5 linked regions of the Oryzias latipes genome follow. The protein of the gene in region 5 binds, or shares a complex with, the protein of the main gene of each other region. Links are inferred from orthologs where the notes say so. Each region holds a gene or a part of one and is shown on either strand. Other genes may lie near its edges.

Evidence for each region.
Region 1: the proteins of E3 ubiquitin-protein ligase XIAP (region 5) and tab1 are in contact, whole or in part, in a crystal structure (PDB 2POP), measured with the Homo sapiens proteins. The link is inferred for Oryzias latipes from reciprocal best matches to the Homo sapiens genes XIAP and TAB1. Residues at the interface, in NP_001158.2 of Homo sapiens: Phe33, Ala34, Ser38, Gly39, Pro41, Ser43, Ala44, Ser45, Thr46, Arg49, Tyr75, Ser78, Ala79, Val80, Gly81, Arg84, Phe92, Ile93, Gly95, Tyr97, Leu98; in NP_006107.1 of Homo sapiens: Glu99, Ala100, Arg103, Thr201, Gln202, Leu203, Glu212, Asp213, Phe216, Arg217, Gln220, Arg241, Glu269, Glu271, Ile272, His273, Ala275, Gln276, Pro277.
Region 2: the proteins of E3 ubiquitin-protein ligase XIAP (region 5) and caspase 3B are in contact, whole or in part, in a crystal structure (PDB 1I3O), measured with the Homo sapiens proteins. The link is inferred for Oryzias latipes from reciprocal best matches to the Homo sapiens genes XIAP and CASP3. Residues at the interface, in NP_001158.2 of Homo sapiens: Ala137, Leu140, Leu141, Gly144, Gln145, Val146, Val147, Asp148, Ile149, Ser150, Asp151, Thr152, Ile153, Tyr154, Asn226, Leu231, Gly232, Arg233, Asn234; in NP_001341706.1 of Homo sapiens: Tyr204, Trp206, Arg207, Asn208, Ser209, Lys210, Asp211, Trp214, Gln217, Lys242, Thr245, Glu246, Phe247, Glu248, Ser249, Phe250, Phe252, Thr255, Phe256.
Region 3: the proteins of E3 ubiquitin-protein ligase XIAP (region 5) and ripk2 are in contact, whole or in part, in a cryo-EM structure (PDB 8AZA), measured with the Homo sapiens proteins. The link is inferred for Oryzias latipes from reciprocal best matches to the Homo sapiens genes XIAP and RIPK2. Residues at the interface, in NP_001158.2 of Homo sapiens: Lys208, Asn209, Trp210, Glu211, Pro212, Cys213; in NP_003812.1 of Homo sapiens: His136, Asn137, Met138, Thr139, Pro141, Ile208, Asp278, Glu279, Arg280, Ser282, Lys285.
Region 4: the proteins of E3 ubiquitin-protein ligase XIAP (region 5) and casp7 are in contact, whole or in part, in a crystal structure (PDB 1I51), measured with the Homo sapiens proteins. The link is inferred for Oryzias latipes from reciprocal best matches to the Homo sapiens genes XIAP and CASP7. Residues at the interface, in NP_001158.2 of Homo sapiens: His136, Ala137, Leu140, Leu141, Gly144, Gln145, Val146, Val147, Asp148, Ile149, Ser150, Asp151; in NP_001218.1 of Homo sapiens: Tyr230, Trp232, Arg233, Ser234, Pro235, Gly236, Arg237, Trp240, Glu274, Ser275, Gln276, Asp279, His281, Phe282.

Annotation. Positions count from the first base shown.
Region 1 is NC_019859.2:24,888,981-24,893,011, forward strand, and holds the start of tab1 (TGF-beta-activated kinase 1 and MAP3K7-binding protein 1), read right to left. Parts: upstream 2,811-4,031; 5' UTR 2,770-2,810; coding exon 2,737-2,769; intron 2,000-2,736; coding exon 1,866-1,999; intron 1-1,865. UniProt on the Homo sapiens protein: Key adapter protein that plays an essential role in JNK and NF-kappa-B activation and proinflammatory cytokines production in response to stimulation with TLRs and cytokines.
Region 2 is NC_019859.2:19,919,052-19,923,217, forward strand, and holds the start of caspase 3B, read right to left. Parts: upstream 2,811-4,166; 5' UTR 2,710-2,810; coding exon 2,651-2,709; intron 1,679-2,650; coding exon 1,539-1,678; intron 592-1,538; coding exon 463-591; intron 347-462; coding exon 171-346; intron 83-170; coding exon 1-82. UniProt on the Homo sapiens protein: Thiol protease that acts as a major effector caspase involved in the execution phase of apoptosis. Following cleavage and activation by initiator caspases (CASP8, CASP9 and/or CASP10), mediates execution of apoptosis by catalyzing cleavage of many proteins.
Region 3 is NC_019875.2:13,793,084-13,795,750, forward strand, and holds the end of ripk2 (receptor-interacting serine/threonine-protein kinase 2), read left to right. Parts: intron 1-339; coding exon 340-734; 3' UTR 735-2,154; downstream 2,155-2,667.
Region 4 is NC_019877.2:5,366,799-5,369,638, reverse strand, and holds the end of casp7 (caspase-7), read right to left. Parts: intron 2,790-2,840; coding exon 2,651-2,789; intron 2,530-2,650; coding exon 2,303-2,529; 3' UTR 517-2,302; downstream 1-516. UniProt on the Homo sapiens protein: Thiol protease involved in different programmed cell death processes, such as apoptosis, pyroptosis or granzyme-mediated programmed cell death, by proteolytically cleaving target proteins.
Region 5 is NC_019868.2:22,022,632-22,026,902, reverse strand, and holds the start of E3 ubiquitin-protein ligase XIAP, read right to left. Parts: upstream 2,802-4,271; 5' UTR 2,651-2,801; intron 1,065-2,650; 5' UTR 1,032-1,064; coding exon 789-1,031; intron 691-788; coding exon 120-690; intron 10-119; coding exon 1-9.

The sequences.
Region 1 (4,031 bases), on a different chromosome or scaffold from region 5:
CCAGAATCCTTTGGTGCCATTAGACCCAACGTGCACCAGATCGCCGCTACAATATGATGAAGCTTTCAAGTTAAAAGCAATCGTTAAAAGCAGCGTAAAAAAGTCCACCGTCACCAACGGGTTTGGAAAAGCCGGTTTGCTGCGTGACGGAGAGAACAGCGCATGGAGTGAATTTACACTCCATTTACGGTTTCTAAGGAAACCGTAAAAGCGGAATTTTGCTTTGAAAAACTCACAGCCTCCGTGTGAGCTGGAGACATCTTCTCCTGCTGATTGAGCTGCGGGGCCGATGGCAGTCTGAAGGCTCCCACACGTAACAACGCACCCGCCCCTCATACACAAAACGTACAGTATTCAGTCCGATTGCTTTGCACAGAAACGATTTGCTCCATCCACCGGCGCAACGGGGACGAAGTGCTCCTCCTTGAAGCCGCCCTGGCCAGAGGTGTCGGAGTAGATAGGAAGGGGAGACAAGGAGCGCGCGGGAGCGGAGCGCAGAGGCGTCCGCGGAGTGCAGAGGCTTCTGAATTCTGCCGCACGCGCCGCACTGAGGCGCGCGTATCACGCTGAGGCGCGCGCTTTTCAGTCCCCGCTGCTGTATTTTACCGGTGTGTTTTTTAACCAGCCCTGTTACTCCCATAACGCTGCCGCGACACAAGCGGAAGGAGAGCTGTACCCGTTCACCCCTCCATGCACTGCTGATACTTGCTCATTCTTAAACACGTACAACAGAATGGCGAGCCGGGCATTGGCCCCGCCTTTAGCCCCTAAGACCCATGGGAAATGTGGAATCGCGGATGTAAATTTCCTCTTCATAACTGAGGGATGTAATGTTGATTATATGGTTACTGTTTGTAATTTTAAGTATGATACCTAGATTGTCAATAAGTAAAAAAAAAAATGAAATAAAAACACCATAACTGAGGAACTTGTGAACAGAATAGAGGTCCATGCTGTTTGACAGATATCGATACACTCAAATACATGAGCCACCCACAATGTGCTAATAAATTGCACTCACTCTGGGATGCTGGCCTTGATCTGTCAGGATGACAATATCGCCTAACACATGCGCGGCTTGAACTCTGACACGGCTTGTGTATGTATAAAACTAATTAAACACGTGAAAATGGGTGGGTGCGGCTTGTAATCGGGTGCGCTTTGTAGTCCGGAATTTACGGTATTTGTTTTGGTTGTTTTTCTGGAAAGCATACATTTTTATTCTTTTTAAATCCCTTTTTCCCAGGGCTTGCACTTTGTAGACGGCCCCTTGGCAGCTGTCTCACTGTAATCTCTCTGTCAGCAAAATAGGCAGAACCACTCTCATTAAAAAGAAACAAAAACCCAACCTTGCTGTCAGTTTAAATCGTTTATTAAGAGTTTTGAGCCTAGAAGACTAAAGTTGTTAATATCTCTCTACCTTTATGAAACTGCTTGTCTGTGTCTCCTGCTCAAACTGCTGCCATTTTCTGCTGCGCTTTACAGCAACAAAATGTCATGGTGTGTTCATGATATGCAGACTTCCAGAAGAGAATTTATCTACAATAATAAGCTTAAAATAAATAGCGTAATTGTAATAAAATAGTGGTAATTGATATAGCAGAAATAATAATAATAATGATCCCAAATCTGGATGGAACATCTGATTCCAATCGAGTCTGAAACTATGCAGGCCCAGCTTCTGATCACGTAGGAGGTCCCTAGTAATTATCATAAGATTTCAAACAAAAAGCTTAGCGCCAAAACCTGAAGTGACAAAAAAAGAAGCTGACTTCAGAATGGAGATATGAACTTTCAATAAAGTGTTTATTCTCTCGCTCTTAACATTTCTAATTTAAGATCCTTTCTTTCCTGGGATTATTTACCTCAGTCTGAGGTGTCCGTCCTCCATGGGGTGGCTCTGAGTCCCTTTGCCATCTGGGCCGTACACACAGTTTGGGGCGGCGCCGACCCCACACATCTGACAGAGGGGCAGGTCATCCGTCCAACTCTGATGCTGCTGGGAGAAAATTGTGAAAAAGTGTTCAAAAGCTCACCTTCATTCAATACATCTTTTACAACGTTTATATGATAAAAACTATGCAAAATTATATTGGCACCAATACCAATACCATGCCTTCAAAACTATTTAACAGCTTTAAAAAAAAAAATTCAATTAATTCCAGACATCAAAAGTTTAAAAAGACAAACGCTTTCAGATCGTAGGGTTTATCTATAAACAATTTTCGAAATAAATGTCAACTTTTTTTGCTGTTTTCGGTATACTTATACTATATATTTTTTAGTTTTTCCCCCCAAAAGATTTCACAAAAAATGAAATATAACTCAGTCTGAAACCGAATGTAAACAACATACGACCAAACAACCGGGCTAAGTTAGTATTCGGAAGGACTACTATTGCAAAATGATAGGCCCTAAAAACAACAATTCCTTAAAAATCAAGAACAATTTCCTACATTTGATCCCGTCTGCTATATTCCTATGACAGACATAAACTTGGTTACTGTAGGTCCCCAACAGAATTAGAAAATGTAGCTAGTTAGCGGTTAGCAAAGCACTTGGCTCATCTGAAGTAGCTAACTTTTGACACAGCTTTAAGGTTAGAATAAACACCGAATGTTACAAAGTCACGCAGCAAATTAAATGACAACAAACACACTAAAAGCAACAGTTATGTATGACCCAACATGAGCATTATCAGTCGAAAAAAGTAATTTAGGGCAGTTTTTAACGTACACTCTGCATCAAAGTCCTGCGATGCGCCGCCATGTTGGATGGGGCTCGGTGCGTTTACGGTTGCTATCGTAAATTCTATTTTTTGTTTTGATTTTAACCATAAAATCTGAAGTTTCAAGGTCTACTTTGAAGCAACAACGACAAAAATTTTAAAAATAATCAAGATTTCGGTAGTCTTTCATGTTATGACTCTCCAAGGTAAATTTACCTGAATTAGGAACTATTTGTGTGTTTCATTTACAGGTATTTACAATAAAAGAAGGGGAGACAACGCGAATTTTGACCATATACGACCAGAATGATAGATGTTTCGATTTTAAAAAGTGTTTTCCTTTTTTTATTTTACTTTTGCTTTACTTATACGGCATTTGCTTTACTTATAAGGTATTGCATTAGTGTAGGTTAGTGGATTGTCCTACATCATGTGAACGTATCTTTACAAACGCCTTCTTTGGCTTCATTCGGTTTCTTTGGTCATGTTGCCCCCCTGTGGATCCTGTGTGAATTACATTTGAGAAAACCGTCTTGGATTCATGTGTCGCTTGCGCGTGCGCAAGGGCAATCGTTTTATCTTTTTACATTCATTGATATATATTATTTACTGGGGCTATTCAAAATATATTAACAGGTAGCCAACACATGTCTGTACAACATAGGCCTATGGGCAAAAATTTTCACTAAAGTACTTTGAAATTAGCAAAATATTCAAAAGATTATCTGTACTATTTTTAGATAATCAAAAAGACAAAAGCCTAAAAGGTTTATTAAAAAAAAGTAAACACTGGCATTAATGCTTACTTGTCAAACTTTCCTTTTGTAAACTTAATTTATTTACTAACTTATACATAGATTTGCTGCAGTTTAATTGATGGTTATTTTTTCAAATTTATTTGAAAAAATAACAAAGTACGCCATGGGAAGTAAACACACAGAAGGACAATCACTTGTCTACATCGTCTTTCTTTATTTCTGTTGGTTAAAACTGAAACATCAAAAACAAACATTTGAACACATTACTCTTTTTTTTCAGTCATTGTATTTCTAAACAGATTTCACAGAGGAACATCACACATTTTCAACTACACAGATGTAAAATATAAAGTATATACTTGTTTATATACTTTGGTAATTTTTTTTTCTCTTTTAGCAGTTAGTATTGTTATCCAAAATAAAAAGATTTCCCTACCCTGAAAGCAAAATAAAGGATGAGGCTTAGACTACCTCATCGTATATCTTACCACAGTAACAACAGACCATAGAGCTCTTCTTTTTTTAAATACAGAACAAGCATACTG
Region 2 (4,166 bases), on a different chromosome or scaffold from region 5:
AGTCAGCTTCCACTGGGATCTTGGTGGTGTCTTCTTTGGAATCTGCTTCAATGCCATCATCCAGTTCGGTGCCTCTGCAAGCCTTTCAGTGTCCACAAACCCAAACCAAACATTTTCACAGACTGATAGGAAAATGATGGTGGGCAACAAATGAGAGGCTTTGGTCGTACCTGGATGAAAAACAGTTTGGGCTTTCCCACCAGTGATTTGCAGTGATCCCCTCGGAACAGGGACGTCAGAGTTTTGAGTTCTATCGAACCATCCGTGCCGAAGAAAACGCCCTCGTCGCCATGACTCAAAAGGATGCAGACGAAAGAGGCGGAGTCACTGTGGTCCATCCTTGATACTAACAAAAATAAATCCAAAGCAATAAAATATACCAAAAGGATTATAAATATCTATATGAATAAGCACTGGAATGTTTAAAAGTAGCATTTTGAAGAGAGTGTGAATCATACTAACCATCAGTCAAAAGCTGTTTAATCTGTTTAACTGTCTGGTCATTGTAAATCTTCACTCTATAGCCCAACTTTGAAAACACTTTCATTGCAGAGGCTGCATCGATGTCTGTACCGTTTCGCTGATTCATACCTAACAGAACAAAATGGTGTAAAAAAAAAAGTCAGCAACAATTGGTTTAGTAACAAAACAAAAAAGAATTTGAACCGCACAAATTTCCTTAAAAAACCTTCAAACAGTGGTCGAATATGAGTGGTCTCATATTAGAGTGATTTAATATGTGCAAATTTATTTCCACAGCTCTTGTTGTGCATTAAAAGTCACTTTTTTGCCTTAATCAGACGCTCTTTTGTCACAACTAGGCTGTAACAAAACAAAAAAAAATATATGATTATGTTTTACAAAACTGTCTAACATCTTCCTGGACACTGAAAAGTTGAATACACAGAGCAAAGCTGAATCTCTTAATGTATGTTCTGGATAAATCATGCTTTTTAAATCACATTTAGGCTTAATATATGTTGTATATGTGCTACTGCAGGTCTGACTAGGTTCCTGCTGCATTTCAGATAAGTTATTTTAAGAACTGTAGTCCTGATAGATTATTTTTTGTTTAATATTTGTACATTCTATTTAACAAAGCAGAACATTATCCGTTTTTGACTGTTTATGAATTACTACACCATAGTTTTGTACAGTCTTATAAAACAGCTGAACCTAAACATTAAATCTAAAGCTTCATGCTCATCCTGGCAGGCCACAGAGAAAAATGAAACACTTAAGGTAGACAAGGTTCCATTATATTTCTGCTTTGCCTTAATTTCATTAGCAAATGTTACAAAGTAAAGGGGCCAAACCAATCAAAACCATCAAAATTTTAGAAGTGAGAGACTAATGTTTATCACTGACAGTGTATGTTTTTCCTCAACATCTGTGAAAATATATTTTCTTGGATAACTAAACTATTTCTGACAAGTCTTCAGTTTAGCCTGTAATAATAGGAGCTGGGATAACCACTTCAATATAGAATCATTTTCCATGCCAGAGTACAGGAAAATAGAAATAAAAACAGGGATCACCGGTTCCTCGATCAAAATTCTTGTTGTTAATGATGATGCAGAGGCCGATGGTGGGAAAGTTGAGGCTGTATCTAAAGCTGTGAGAGGAGGGCTTCCCATCGACGTCCATGCGATCAGGAGCAGGTGAAGCCCCTGCTGCCCTGCAACACAACATAACACAAAATCAACTTTACCTAAACGATATAAATCGAAACAGGAAACAATCAAAAGGACAAGTGGAGGGTTCAAAGCCACAAGAGACACGGTAGTTATTTTCAAATGTTACATTTAAAAACAGGCACTAATAGGCTTCAAAAAAATTATTTTTGTTTGAAGTGTCCTCTTCTACTGACTTACTGCACCATAAATTACAGACATATTAATAATAATAATAAAAAGAAAATCAACAAGAAAAGTCAGATAAAAATTCACTGATCTGTAGTTCTGGGAAGAATACCGCAAGAACAAAGTGTTTGTTTTAGGAGGTAACTGTCTCTTTTCTTCTGTCATGTTGCAGAGTACAGCAGAGCAGGATTCCTGCATGTTTCCCTACATATTTTGCTCTGTCATGCTTCAATTGGCTGGACACACCTGATCCAGGTGATCAGCCGTGAGTATCATGGCAATGCTATCTGGAAACCATGCAGACACCCCGGACACTTAAGGCCTGGAGTTCCCCAGCCCTAAAACAATCATGGCCTCGTTTTTTACCCCCAAAGATATCTCCATTTTCTGTTGAAGACACTCTCCTTTAAAAAAAAAAGCTCTTTTATTTTATTTTATCCATTTGTTGGTTTGTATTGTTCTTGTTTCACGCGGTGAAAAGTGCTATAGAGAGGCTAAAAACAAGCACACATGCATACAAATCATGTACTTCACCTCAATCATTTCCTGTATTTTCTAAAACATCTGCTGAATAAAATGGAAAAACAAAAACAAAATGCACCAAAGGCCTCTGTGTACACACTGACACTTTTCTCATTTGTTCGGCAAACAAACGTATAGTTTACGAGATAATTAAAAAAAAAAAAAGTTTACGAAATAATTTGTTCCCGGAAGTCCGAATACGTGAATGGGTTTCCAAGTTCACCGAGGTCCATAAATAAGAGGTGACAGAAACATTATTGACTCACAGTTCTCCATTGTCTTTCCTTGCGTCTGTAGAATCCTCTCCTGGTCGATTTGACGCCATATTTTCCTCTAAGTTAAGTTGAACGACTGTAATAAATTAAATGAACCGCCCTGTGTGTCGTGCAGTAGTAAACTAACACAGCGGTGTCCTTTACAAGACAACACTACGCTGCTCTCACAGCTTGTAGCATCAGCTAGCTAAGGAACCGACCTGGTTAATAAACAAAAGGGTTCTGACATGCGCAGACGCGCCATCAGCTCACGGGCGCCCCCTATTGGAACTATGCCCCAAAGACAATTAAATAAAGATTAGATTTTAAAACGAGTAAGAATTTGATATGTCTACAGTTTAGAATTTGCCCAAATGGAAAAGGTTCGATATTTACTTGCCAAAAACAAACTGATTCCAGGATACTATTTTCCAGGATAATATGCAGAGACAATACACCATAAAGTGTACTTAAACCTAAGCTTAAGAAAACATTTTTAAACACACTCATCTTACACATAAATAAATGATGGCACACACCCTTCTAGTTTTGTAAATAACTGTAGTTTTATTTACACAGTAAATACAAGGGCATTATCAACAAAACCAAATAATACTTTAACCCTCAACTACTGCTACCACACACAAACACAACACACAAGGTGATCTTTCTCCTCCAACAGTCTGTACTGATTAAATTACAAAGGCAAGGCCTCCCTTTAAAAATTAATAAACCATTTTAAATTGTAATTGGATAGTTTGTTGGGAAAATGAACACCACAAACAGGCTTGAGACAACCCAACCTGAAAGAAACAAGAAAAAAAAGTGAATGCTTGAAACGATAGTCAACTCTCCTAAAGATACCACTATTTCAGTTCCTAAAATTAAAAGGTTGATCACTTTTATTGCTCTAACTTTGAACAGAAAGTTACTGCATAATTCAAGGTGACATCTCTGCAAGTCCATAATATGTGAAAATGAATTAACTACCCACAAAAAAAGGAAAACATTCATTTTTGGGATCGCAAACGTAAAACCAGGAGCTATGACAAAAACAACATTTACAACATCTTAAAGTACACAACATCCGTATAGCACGGTGAAAATCTGTAAATGTTAGATTAAAAATGTCAATTCTAACTCTTGGGAATAAATTAAATACCGTTTAAAATGAAAAACTTTTTGCTGCACACAAAAGCAAAGGTTACATTAAACGAGGGAACTCAAATGCAACTGTTTTGGTGTTCTAGATTGATTTCTAGACCATCTTTTCACCATTTTATTAAGAATTTGCTTATTTCTTATAATTTTTAGTGACTTATTTGTACAAGTGCACTTGCATTTAGGACAAAAACGTTTTTGTCTGCTTTAAATTCCTGACATATTGCCAAACAAAATGTAGTTTTTACTGCTTTAGTGCTACCTTATCTCATTTAATCCACTTTGTATCACAGCTATAAATTGAGGCACATCTTAGTTAAAATCTACAAATGCAGCACATTACAGAAGAAGAATCACTCAACAGGTT
Region 3 (2,667 bases), on a different chromosome or scaffold from region 5:
TTGTTTTTGAAGCTAAATGTAACATTTTAGGTTCATTGATGACTCTAAATTGTCCCTATTTGTGGATGTGAGAGTGTGTGCGTGTTGTTGTTGTGTGACTCTGCAACAGGCTGGTAAACTGTTCTGGATGAACCCAAAAATGTCTGGGATAGGCTCCAGCAACACTGTTACCATAAAAAGGATTAGGCAGGTTTGGAAAATGGATGGAGTTCAGTTATCAAGTCTGACTTGCAAATGTTCTGGGAGGAGCTACTATTGGACGTTCTCTTTTAGTTTAGTGCACAACAAATGTAGGTTATCAGATTGTCTCAAATGGCTCTGCTTTCTCCATTCTTTCAGCTGATTGCTCTCCTCCACTGCCGCACTCCCCCCCGCTGTCACAAGGCCCCATCAGCAGCTGGATCGCCATGCGGCGCGTGCAGATCGTCTCCCAGATGACGGAGGCCTGTCTCAACCAAAGCTTGGACGCGCTGCTGGCTCGCTCCATGCTGATGCGCGAGGACTACGAGCTGGTGGTCAACCAGCCGACGCGCACCGCCAAAGTCCGCCAGCTGCTGGACAACTGCCACAAACACGACGAGGACTTCTGCCGCATTGTCGTCCGCAAGCTGTTCGACAACAAGCAAATGGGCCTGAACCCGTACCCCACAGACATCAGCTGTCCCACCTCTGCAGCTGCTGTGCCAAGCGCTCCATCTCTGCCCACCTCCTGCAACATCCCCAGAAACTTTTAGCAGAGGTGGCAGCAAATCAGAGGACCGATGATGGCGTCGTCGCACCACAGCTGACCCTTCCTGGTTCTGTTGTCGTTAGCAATAAAGGTGTAGGTTTTGTCCTTCCGTAAAAATCAAAAGATACAGAATGAGTTGATGATCTTAAATTGTTATGGATTTTGTATTTATACTCCATTTTTTTTTTATTTCCTTGTGTTTTCTCTTATTAAGGCCCATCTTTTTAGATACTCGTGTGCATTTGCCTAAAGGAAGCGCCATGGAGACTGTTACTTTGCTGGCAAACCTGCAGTAAAGAAAAGACCCCAGACAGAGTACAATCTCAAGGCAGCACTTTCCCATGAGTTCACATGAACATTTATAAAACCTCCCTTTACCTGTAAAGTGCACAGTTTGCATTAGAAAATATATCATATTGGTGCAAATTCAATTTTACTGAAGAGAAGACGATTAGTGTGTTCACAAGAATCTCAAGAATATGACAAAAATGTTTGGGGGTTTTTGTGTCAAAGTTAAGCAGCTCACAATAACTACTGTATTTATTACGAAGTAACCTCTCAGTATTTCTATTCATGCTCACATTTTGAGGCTTGACACCCACCCAGATACTTTAGAGCCCTCTTTCTTCCAGAAACTTTTCGTTATTAATCGGCTCTAACTTTTTGGAAGTTGCCAAAACTGCTTTTCTTGTAGCAAACTTTCCTGGAATTGTAATCCAATCATCTTGAAGTTTTGTTTTCCATTATAACAAGAACAACTCCTTTTTAATAAAACAGTGATGGCTTCCATAAAGAAGAACAGTTAAGAGAGTAGCACCAGTATCTGTACAGATAATACACTTTTTGATGTCTATTTTAAGATGTAGCAAAGGAAAACAAAGTTACAGCATTAGGAAAAGAGTTTTGGTTTAATGGAATAGTAAGCAGAATAGGTTAGGTTTATTCTATTCATTGGCTGGCAAAGCAGTATATTTAACACTTTCAATGGAGGGCCTTACTGGTGTCTTCAATGCCTTTGCTTCTTAAAGGAGGTGCTTAAATTTCCAAACGGTAGCTTTTCTGTGTACAATGTTTTCCACCTTTGCCTTTTCCCAACGTGCTCAAATGTGGATTACTGGTTACTAAAGTGCACACTCTGACAAACGTCAGGTTTTCAGCCATCCGTAGTCCCTGAAATGACAACAGAAATTAGGCTTTTTGTGCTTCCAAGTGTTGGATGTGTCCTTAAACTCTGTGCCTCATTGTGACGGCCTTTGTATCTTGTATTATATTTTGTACTGTACCCACATTGTTGTACATCTTTATCTTTATGTGGTAGTTTAACACCTAAGATGTCTGTTGAGGTAAAGTTGCATTTTCTAGTGCGACCTTTTTTCAAATATTCTGTCACTTCTTCCATTAAATGGGAATCGATCACTTTGTAATTTCTGCAATTCTTTTTTTTCTTTATCTGCAATAACAAATCAGGAATCATTAGGCTGCACCCATATGAACCCACTCACACCAGGGGCCTGCCTAAGTTCCCCTTTTTGGAAAAAAAAGGGCATGTTTTAGTGGAATGACTTGGAAGTAACAGAATATCTCCTTTGAAAATCATGTTTGAGTTTAGCAAATTAAAAAAAAGAAAAGTGGTGCTTTATTTGTTGTCCAGGATATACACTGGACCGTCATTTTGAAAAGCGGAAATCCAATACCCAATAATCCAATCTCAAACTTGGAGTCTTGTTTTTAACCCTTGTGCTATCCTAGGCACTTTAACATTGGGAGGTGGGTCATCTAGACCCACTAGACAGTGCGCTAAACCTTTTTTCTTCAGTGATTTGTGAACCTCACTGGTGTCCATGGATGACATTAAATCTTTCCACCTTTATCCACCTTTGTCATGGTAGGGAGAACACGTCAATGTATGGGTGGATTCATCTAAGATAGCACAAGGG
Region 4 (2,840 bases), on a different chromosome or scaffold from region 5:
ATTACTGCAAACCAGATTTTTTTTCTCAAACCTAGAATTTCCCAGAAAAATATTTGTTTTCCAGTCTTGAACAGTAAACGTTCAGGCTGCATGAAATTCTTGACGATTTGAACGATAAGCAGCTGAGAAGTTTTATGTAAAATCTGCAGTTATTTCCAGGTCCAAGAGGCTTTCCCAGTTATCATGAGTGCAATGTTGTGGTGCAAGTTTTTGTTTCGTACAGCAATCAATCAATAACAACAACAACAACAACACACTAACAAAGCCAGTACAGCGAACAAAAACTTCTGGAACCACATTGTTGCTCTTTGGTTCATGAAAAAAATAAATAAATAAATAAAGGGTTTGTAGATCTAATTAATTTGTTTAAAACAACAGTTTTTTTATCTGTAACAAGTGGAAATAAAAAAAAAAACGACTGCAATATTTTTATTTGTATTTTAACAATTTTGGTAACTTTCCAAATAGAAATGTTTTTTTGTATATTCCAACTTAATAAGATTTAAGAAACAATTCCTTTGTGTAATAAATGTATTTTTATTACAAGAAATGCTCACATAAGCATACTTTTGTTCCAAAGTTTACAAACTGGGCCAGTTTAAGCTTTCCTGTCAAAGTCATCATTTTTTAATTGACTTAATTCATTTTTTTATTCCTGAGGACAACAGCATGAAACAGCAGAAAGCATTCAAAATTTTGCAACAAAAAATAATTAATTTCCTCTTTCAATTCCATTCCAAACAAGTTAATCAAACTTTTTTTTTTTAAGCTCAGGTCAGCCCTAACGTCTTCTGGTGTCCAGACAATTCAGGGGGCTGCACTGGACAAGAATCGGCTCGTCGCGCAATTATTCATTAAAAATGACCAAAATTATGGTTTAAAACTACTTGCTAAAAACATAAAAGCAGTCAAAAGTGGAAAGCAAACAAAAACTAAAGATATACCCCAACAGGCTACTGATACGTGCATTTTTTGTTTTTGTTTTTAGAATAGCTACATCGCAGGAGGAGTATGGATTTGGTAAGTTCAGACTTGTCACTGCCAGTAATAGCTGCCTCTGTGGTTGACACACTGGGACAATAAAACTGCAGAATCTTAAACTTTTGTTTTTAAATGTTAACTATCAATTAGATACAATACAATTCTAGCCTAAAACTTGTCGTTTATCATAGTTTCCTACAGCGAAAAAGTAAACCAAAGTGCTCAAAAATGAGAAAAATCGATAAAACTTTAGCCTAAAACTTGTGTTAAGTTAAGCAAAGTGCACAAAGTGCTTAAATATGTAAAGCATTATTTTAGTATCTTTGGCTTTTAAATAATTCCGAATTGGAGCGCTTTGTTGGTTTGTACCTGCAGTGTACACTAAAGACAAACTACAACACTAATATACGGCAAAATGATGCTGCAATTGTGCTTTTGGTCTCAGCTGGGCTTTCTATTTCTGCGGTCTATGATACAAGAACGAACACTTGAGATGTATGTTTCATCGTAGCACTTCCTGTTCTTTAGCTCTATCAAAATAAAATGAATGCATTGAACTTTTTTTTTTTTTGGGGGGGGGGGGGGGGGGGGCTGTATTTGGGCATATATGAAATCCCACAAAGTTCACAAATTTCATTCTAAACAATTAGGTAATTTCCCATAACTTCAGTTTGTAAAGATTTCATTTAAAAATAAGAAATTGAATGTTTTAGCGCCTGCTTTTGTGCTAAATGCCAACAGTCATTTTATAGTTTTTCAACTTCTTATGCAGCAGAAGTGAAAAATATCTTAATTGGTGTGATGACAAACCCTCCACTGACATAATCAAAGCTAAAATAAAGTTTTCTGGAAGGAAATGAGGTTTTCCTCATCAGAGATGAAGCCCAAATCGCAAAAACATTTTAATGTCAACTGAACTTCCGGTGATTTTCCTGTAATTAGGGATTTTTGTTGCATTTTGCTTGCCTACAATGTCACGTCTTATTGAACAGAACTGTTAAAAGAATGAAACGGAGATGACGCATACTCAGATATGATTCCCCCAAAGCCACAAGACCTGGCAGCGGATCTTATGGGCTGGCAGAACAACATGGATATTTCACCCGTCGACAGAGATCGGACCGATTGTGACGCCATTGGTCTGAAGAGGAACCTGAAGGAAAGCTTTCACCTTGGATGAACAAACGCCACCGTATTTTCTCACAGAGGGCTTGTTTTTGGGCCCATTATCCCTGAATATTTCAATTAAAGAGTCCGCCCCTGAAACGGTCAGTCTTGTCAGCCAGTCAGTGGGAGTGCGCCATGCAGTACAGGTGGACGGTCAATTGAAATACAGTTCTTTGGTCAGCATGGAGACCACGCAGGGGATCTGCTTCTTCTCGCTGTAGCGGGGGTCCTCGGACCATGACTCAAAGTTGTTGGCCACCATGTAGTTGACCCGGGTCAGGATCTGCATGATCTCCAGCTGCTTCCCGAACTCGTTGAGGACATTGCAGAGTGCCTGGACAAACCAGGACCCGCGGCCGGGGTTCCTCCAGGAGTAGTATCCTACGGAAGCAGCATGAGTGACAGTCCATGAGTTCAACTGCAGCGCGCCCCCCCCCCCCCCCCCCCCAACGTGACTTTCAGACAACGACAGCCAGATGGAGCACAAAAAGATCAAACCAACCTGGCACCGTGGAGTATGCAAAGAGGAAGTCCGCCTCCACGGGGATCTTGTGACTGGGATTGGCGTCGGTCTCAATGGTGTCGTTTGGAGGACCAGAATCTGTCTGGACGCCTTCATCGAATTCTGAGCCTCTACAAGCCTGGAGAGGGAAACAAACACTCACTTAACGGGAAAAACAGCTGTTCTTCAT
Region 5 (4,271 bases):
CTCCTTCTCCTAGAATAATAATAAAAAAATATTATGAACAAACATTTAGATTTAGAAAAATTAAAATATTACCGGTACATCTCATTTGTAAAGGGGATGTTTGAACAAACATGCTTTACCTTTGCTGTAGAAGCCAGCTTTAGCAAGCAGCTCGTGGTCAATCGGGTGCTGGACGCGTGCAAAAGTGCCGAGTCGCTCGTCAAGATTTTCCAAATTGACAGGTGTGCGATGTTGGTTTCTGCTGCCAGTCTCTTCATTTTCTCCTCCATCTCTTTCCAGAGGCACATTTCCCACGTCATGACCAAGGATGTAGAAGCAGTGGGAAAAATGTTTTTCATGCTCGTTCCAGGGGGTGTCCCCAGGTTTCCAGCCACTTAGCTTGCCTCCACAACTGAAACACTCCACTTTATCCTCCTTTCCTAAGTAGAACAAACCTGCCTGAGCCAAATCTCGAGGTCTGACTGGAGCAGAACGCGGCCACGAAGAGAAAGTTTCCAGGCGGGCTTCTTCGCTTTTCATATTCCGGTTCCGTGGATATGGAGTCTCATCAACAATGGCTCTTGTTCTCAACTGGTAATCTATATATCCTTCAGTTCCATCATGAAGGCCCCCATTGCTGAGGGGCATATGGGGATTTGACTTAAAACGGTTGAAGTGTGTGCAGCGGAGAAACGTGCACGATGGGGAAACCTGCATGGAAGGAAAATGTTGAACTTTATTATTTAAAAAGTTGAAAAAGAATTGCCCAACATTTCTAAACTATTTTTTTTTTCAACATAAACAATTACCTGTATGTGTCTGTCCACTGGTTGATCTTCCTGGGACCAGTTTTCTACCGTTTTCTGGCAACTGAAGCAGCGTACGCGGTCAGAGACTCCAGTGAAGAGGAAGCCAGCTTCAGCCAGTTGCAGCGGTGACACCTTCTTGCTCCAGCTGGAGTTGTAGAAAGATTCCAGACGATTGTTTATCTTAGAGTAATCAATTGTGGAGTCCGATTCCCAATTCCCATCTTGGCTGGGGTCACACATCATTGAAACAAGTAGCTGTGGCGGTAAACACAAAATCTAAAAGAAAAGAAACATGAAAAAGGTTTGAGTTAGAAGTGTAGAACCTTGAATAATAGATCATGGGGGAATCTCTTTTTTTTTACTTAAAGACCTACTCCGATCATCTTTTGAGCCATTTTTAAAGTGTTCCCAGGGGTCTTCTAATTACCACTATGCCATTTTTGTCCAAAAAAGTGCCCAGATTTTTCTGCAGAGCAGCAGTAGATCATTAGAAATTCGCCTCTGAGTTGTTGGCTGGACTGTTGGCATGGAGCAACGCCGCTTCTCTCCATGTTGCCGAGGGCTCTCTGTTGCCATGTTCTCCTGCTAGCTTCAGTCCTCCTCAGTCATTCAGATTTGTCAAAAATATAAAGTATTCTGGAAGTTAACCAGCTTCCCTATCTTTATGTCCACCTTTGACATCACATCGTGCTAATAAACATTGCATCAGCACGCCTGTGTTTCATGCAATTCTTATTCATGACACATACTAAAGGTGTGATGACTTTTATTCAAGCCTAGTCACCTCCCAGAGGAAATTATTTGTCAAAAACAGAAAGTAGAAGTCAAATATCTTTCAGTTGGACATTTTTTGAGAGTGTGTGTAGATAGAATGGTATGGAATGTCCATTCCATTCATAGTCATAATCTGTCCACATAGCTAGGCTCTTTAAAGTTCTTTTAAGCCGGTAACTCAGGAAACCAGATGGATATCAGTTGAAAAAATGAATGTTTTAGTGAAGGCACAAGGGATGGGCACGAGGGCGGCTCCTGTAGTTAACTTATATGCCAAAGGGTGTAGCAGATGTACTGTTCACCATTCTTAAAGAGCTAATCAGATCATTGATTCATCAAAACACAATGTTGGAACACTGTTAATAGGTTTCAGCGATCTGCCACATATGTTTGTTAGATTATCCAGAAATGTACTAGCAGCACAGTCAAAAACAATCACTGTTTTCTACAGGAGGTTGAGACTCTTGTGTGATATTGTTGCCACACATTAGGACAGTCATATGCTGCATTACTCCTTCTGACAAACACGCTGTACGTGGAACTATTTGGTGCACATTTAGCTGTGACATGGGATTTTATCTGCTGGTGGTGGAGGACTGCATGTGATCTTTGCACTGTCACGTTTTTCTGCCTCAGTGATCAAGTGATCAAATCAAAAGCTAACGGCCATATTTACTACAGTAAATATGCTGTCGCAAAGACAGTTTTGCTGTCTTTGCGACAGCAAAACTGAAATTAACATCTCTAACCGCCCAGTGAGCGACAAATGCGTATGCCGTCATTGTTGTGTTTCTACGAACTATCAACTGCATACTTTGCTCTGTTCACAAAGATTCCACCCACATCATTTAAAGGGCTACACATCACGGATTAAAAATTAATATAAAAGAAAAAAGACAACTGCTGGTGTTTTACAGTGGATAAAGGAATCTTACATAAGGAGTCAAATTATTATTTAAAAGTGCGTACCTTTGCTGTAACTATAGTTTGTTTACATTTCATGTAACATTTGACTAGCTAGCTAGTTAGCCTTGTTCGCTAAGCGCGCGATTACTTTACCAGCGGCTCTAAAAACATAAAATACTTGCATTTCTTTGCTCGTGTAGGGAGGTCTTCGGTTCGTGGTTTGAAAAGGTCCTTGATGAGATCGCCCTGTGAAGGAAATCGGCGTAGAAGAATTCCTTTGGCGTGACCTCCCAAAGTCAGGAAGTAAGAACAGCGTAGTCTTTGACAATGCGCATGCGCATCGTCGATTACGCAAAGAAAGTGGGGGTTCAATGAGAAGATTCCAGAGGTTCTGTTTCAGTTTCGTTATGGAAAAAAATATAAAACATTGTCACTTAAACAGAAAAATTTCAACATGCTTAACAGCTCAAGCCCGAAGATGTTATTGCTAAAGAAAGATATGTTTTTGTAACTTATGCAGTATGTGTTGAAACGTAGATTTGAAAAAAAAAAGAGAGAGAAAAAAAACCACGCAGTCCCGAAAAGCGACTTTTAAGCAAATCTCTAGGTTTTTTTTTTCTTCCCAGGGGGGGTTTCCCTTACAAATATGCTGTTTAAAATCAGTAAAATACACTGTCGACAAAAGAAACTAAATGAGTAAAAAACATTTATAAATGTGTCCCTTATGTCTCAAAGCAAATGCGACATTTATATGATTAATTTATTCAAATTTAGCTTTTTTTCTGTTTTTCAACGTTTGGAGCAAGAATACAAAATGCCACATATTTTGAAGTGGGTTTTAGTCTATGCTTTTATTATGAAGGATGCAGTTTTCTTTAAGATCACACTTTAACTTCTGAAAAGTTGGTGGGACAGTGGTTCAAATTTCAGTGTGTTCTGAGTCATTTTAAGTTCAGCCGGCTGTGAGGCTGCCCTGTCAGACACGCAGCATCCAAACTATACAACTTTAGATATATTTACATTTGGTCACATGAAATAAAAAATAAAACATTTTAAACAGCTTCCAAAACATAACCAATGTGGAATAGGGGAATAGTATTAGGCAGAAGTCATAAATAGGGTTTTAATAAACATCCATTTGTTCAAACAAATCTTCAGTGACATTTCTTTGGTTAAAAAAAATACAGAAAAGTACAGGTAAACCACTAGAAAAAAAGTTGAAGCCACCAAACACAATTTGATGAATTCACTTCAAGAAGCAGTGAAAAAGGGAAAGTACGAAGTTTCTGTGCAGTTTGGTAAGAAACCCCCATGCTGAGTGAGACTTGCTGTTTAGGTGACAAGGCAAGCATCCAACTTCCCCTTATTTGATGTGGGTTAATGGGGAATTACATGGTATAAATTAAACACTCTTTTCACACCCCCGCAAGTTTCTCACCCAAGCTTGGGTCCTCTACTAGAGGCCTGGGAGCTTGAGGGTTCTGTGCAGTATCTTTCCTAGGACTGAACCTTTCTGGACTGAGATGTTTCTCCAGGGATCTGCTTTAGCCACTCTTCTGGTCATTTCTAACATTACAGCCACTCCTCCACCTTAGGGGTTACTGTCCTGAGTGATCGGATAACCACAGGCACCACCGTCAAATTAACCTTAAAGCTTTCTCCAGTTCTTCCAGACTTTCCTCTTTTCTTTGTCCACCTCTACAGTGTCTGGTTGGTTCTCCATGACCATCTTGTCAGTTTGGATCTGGGAGTCCCACAGGATCTTAGCTCTCTCATTCTCTGCCACTTTTAGAGGTGCTTTCC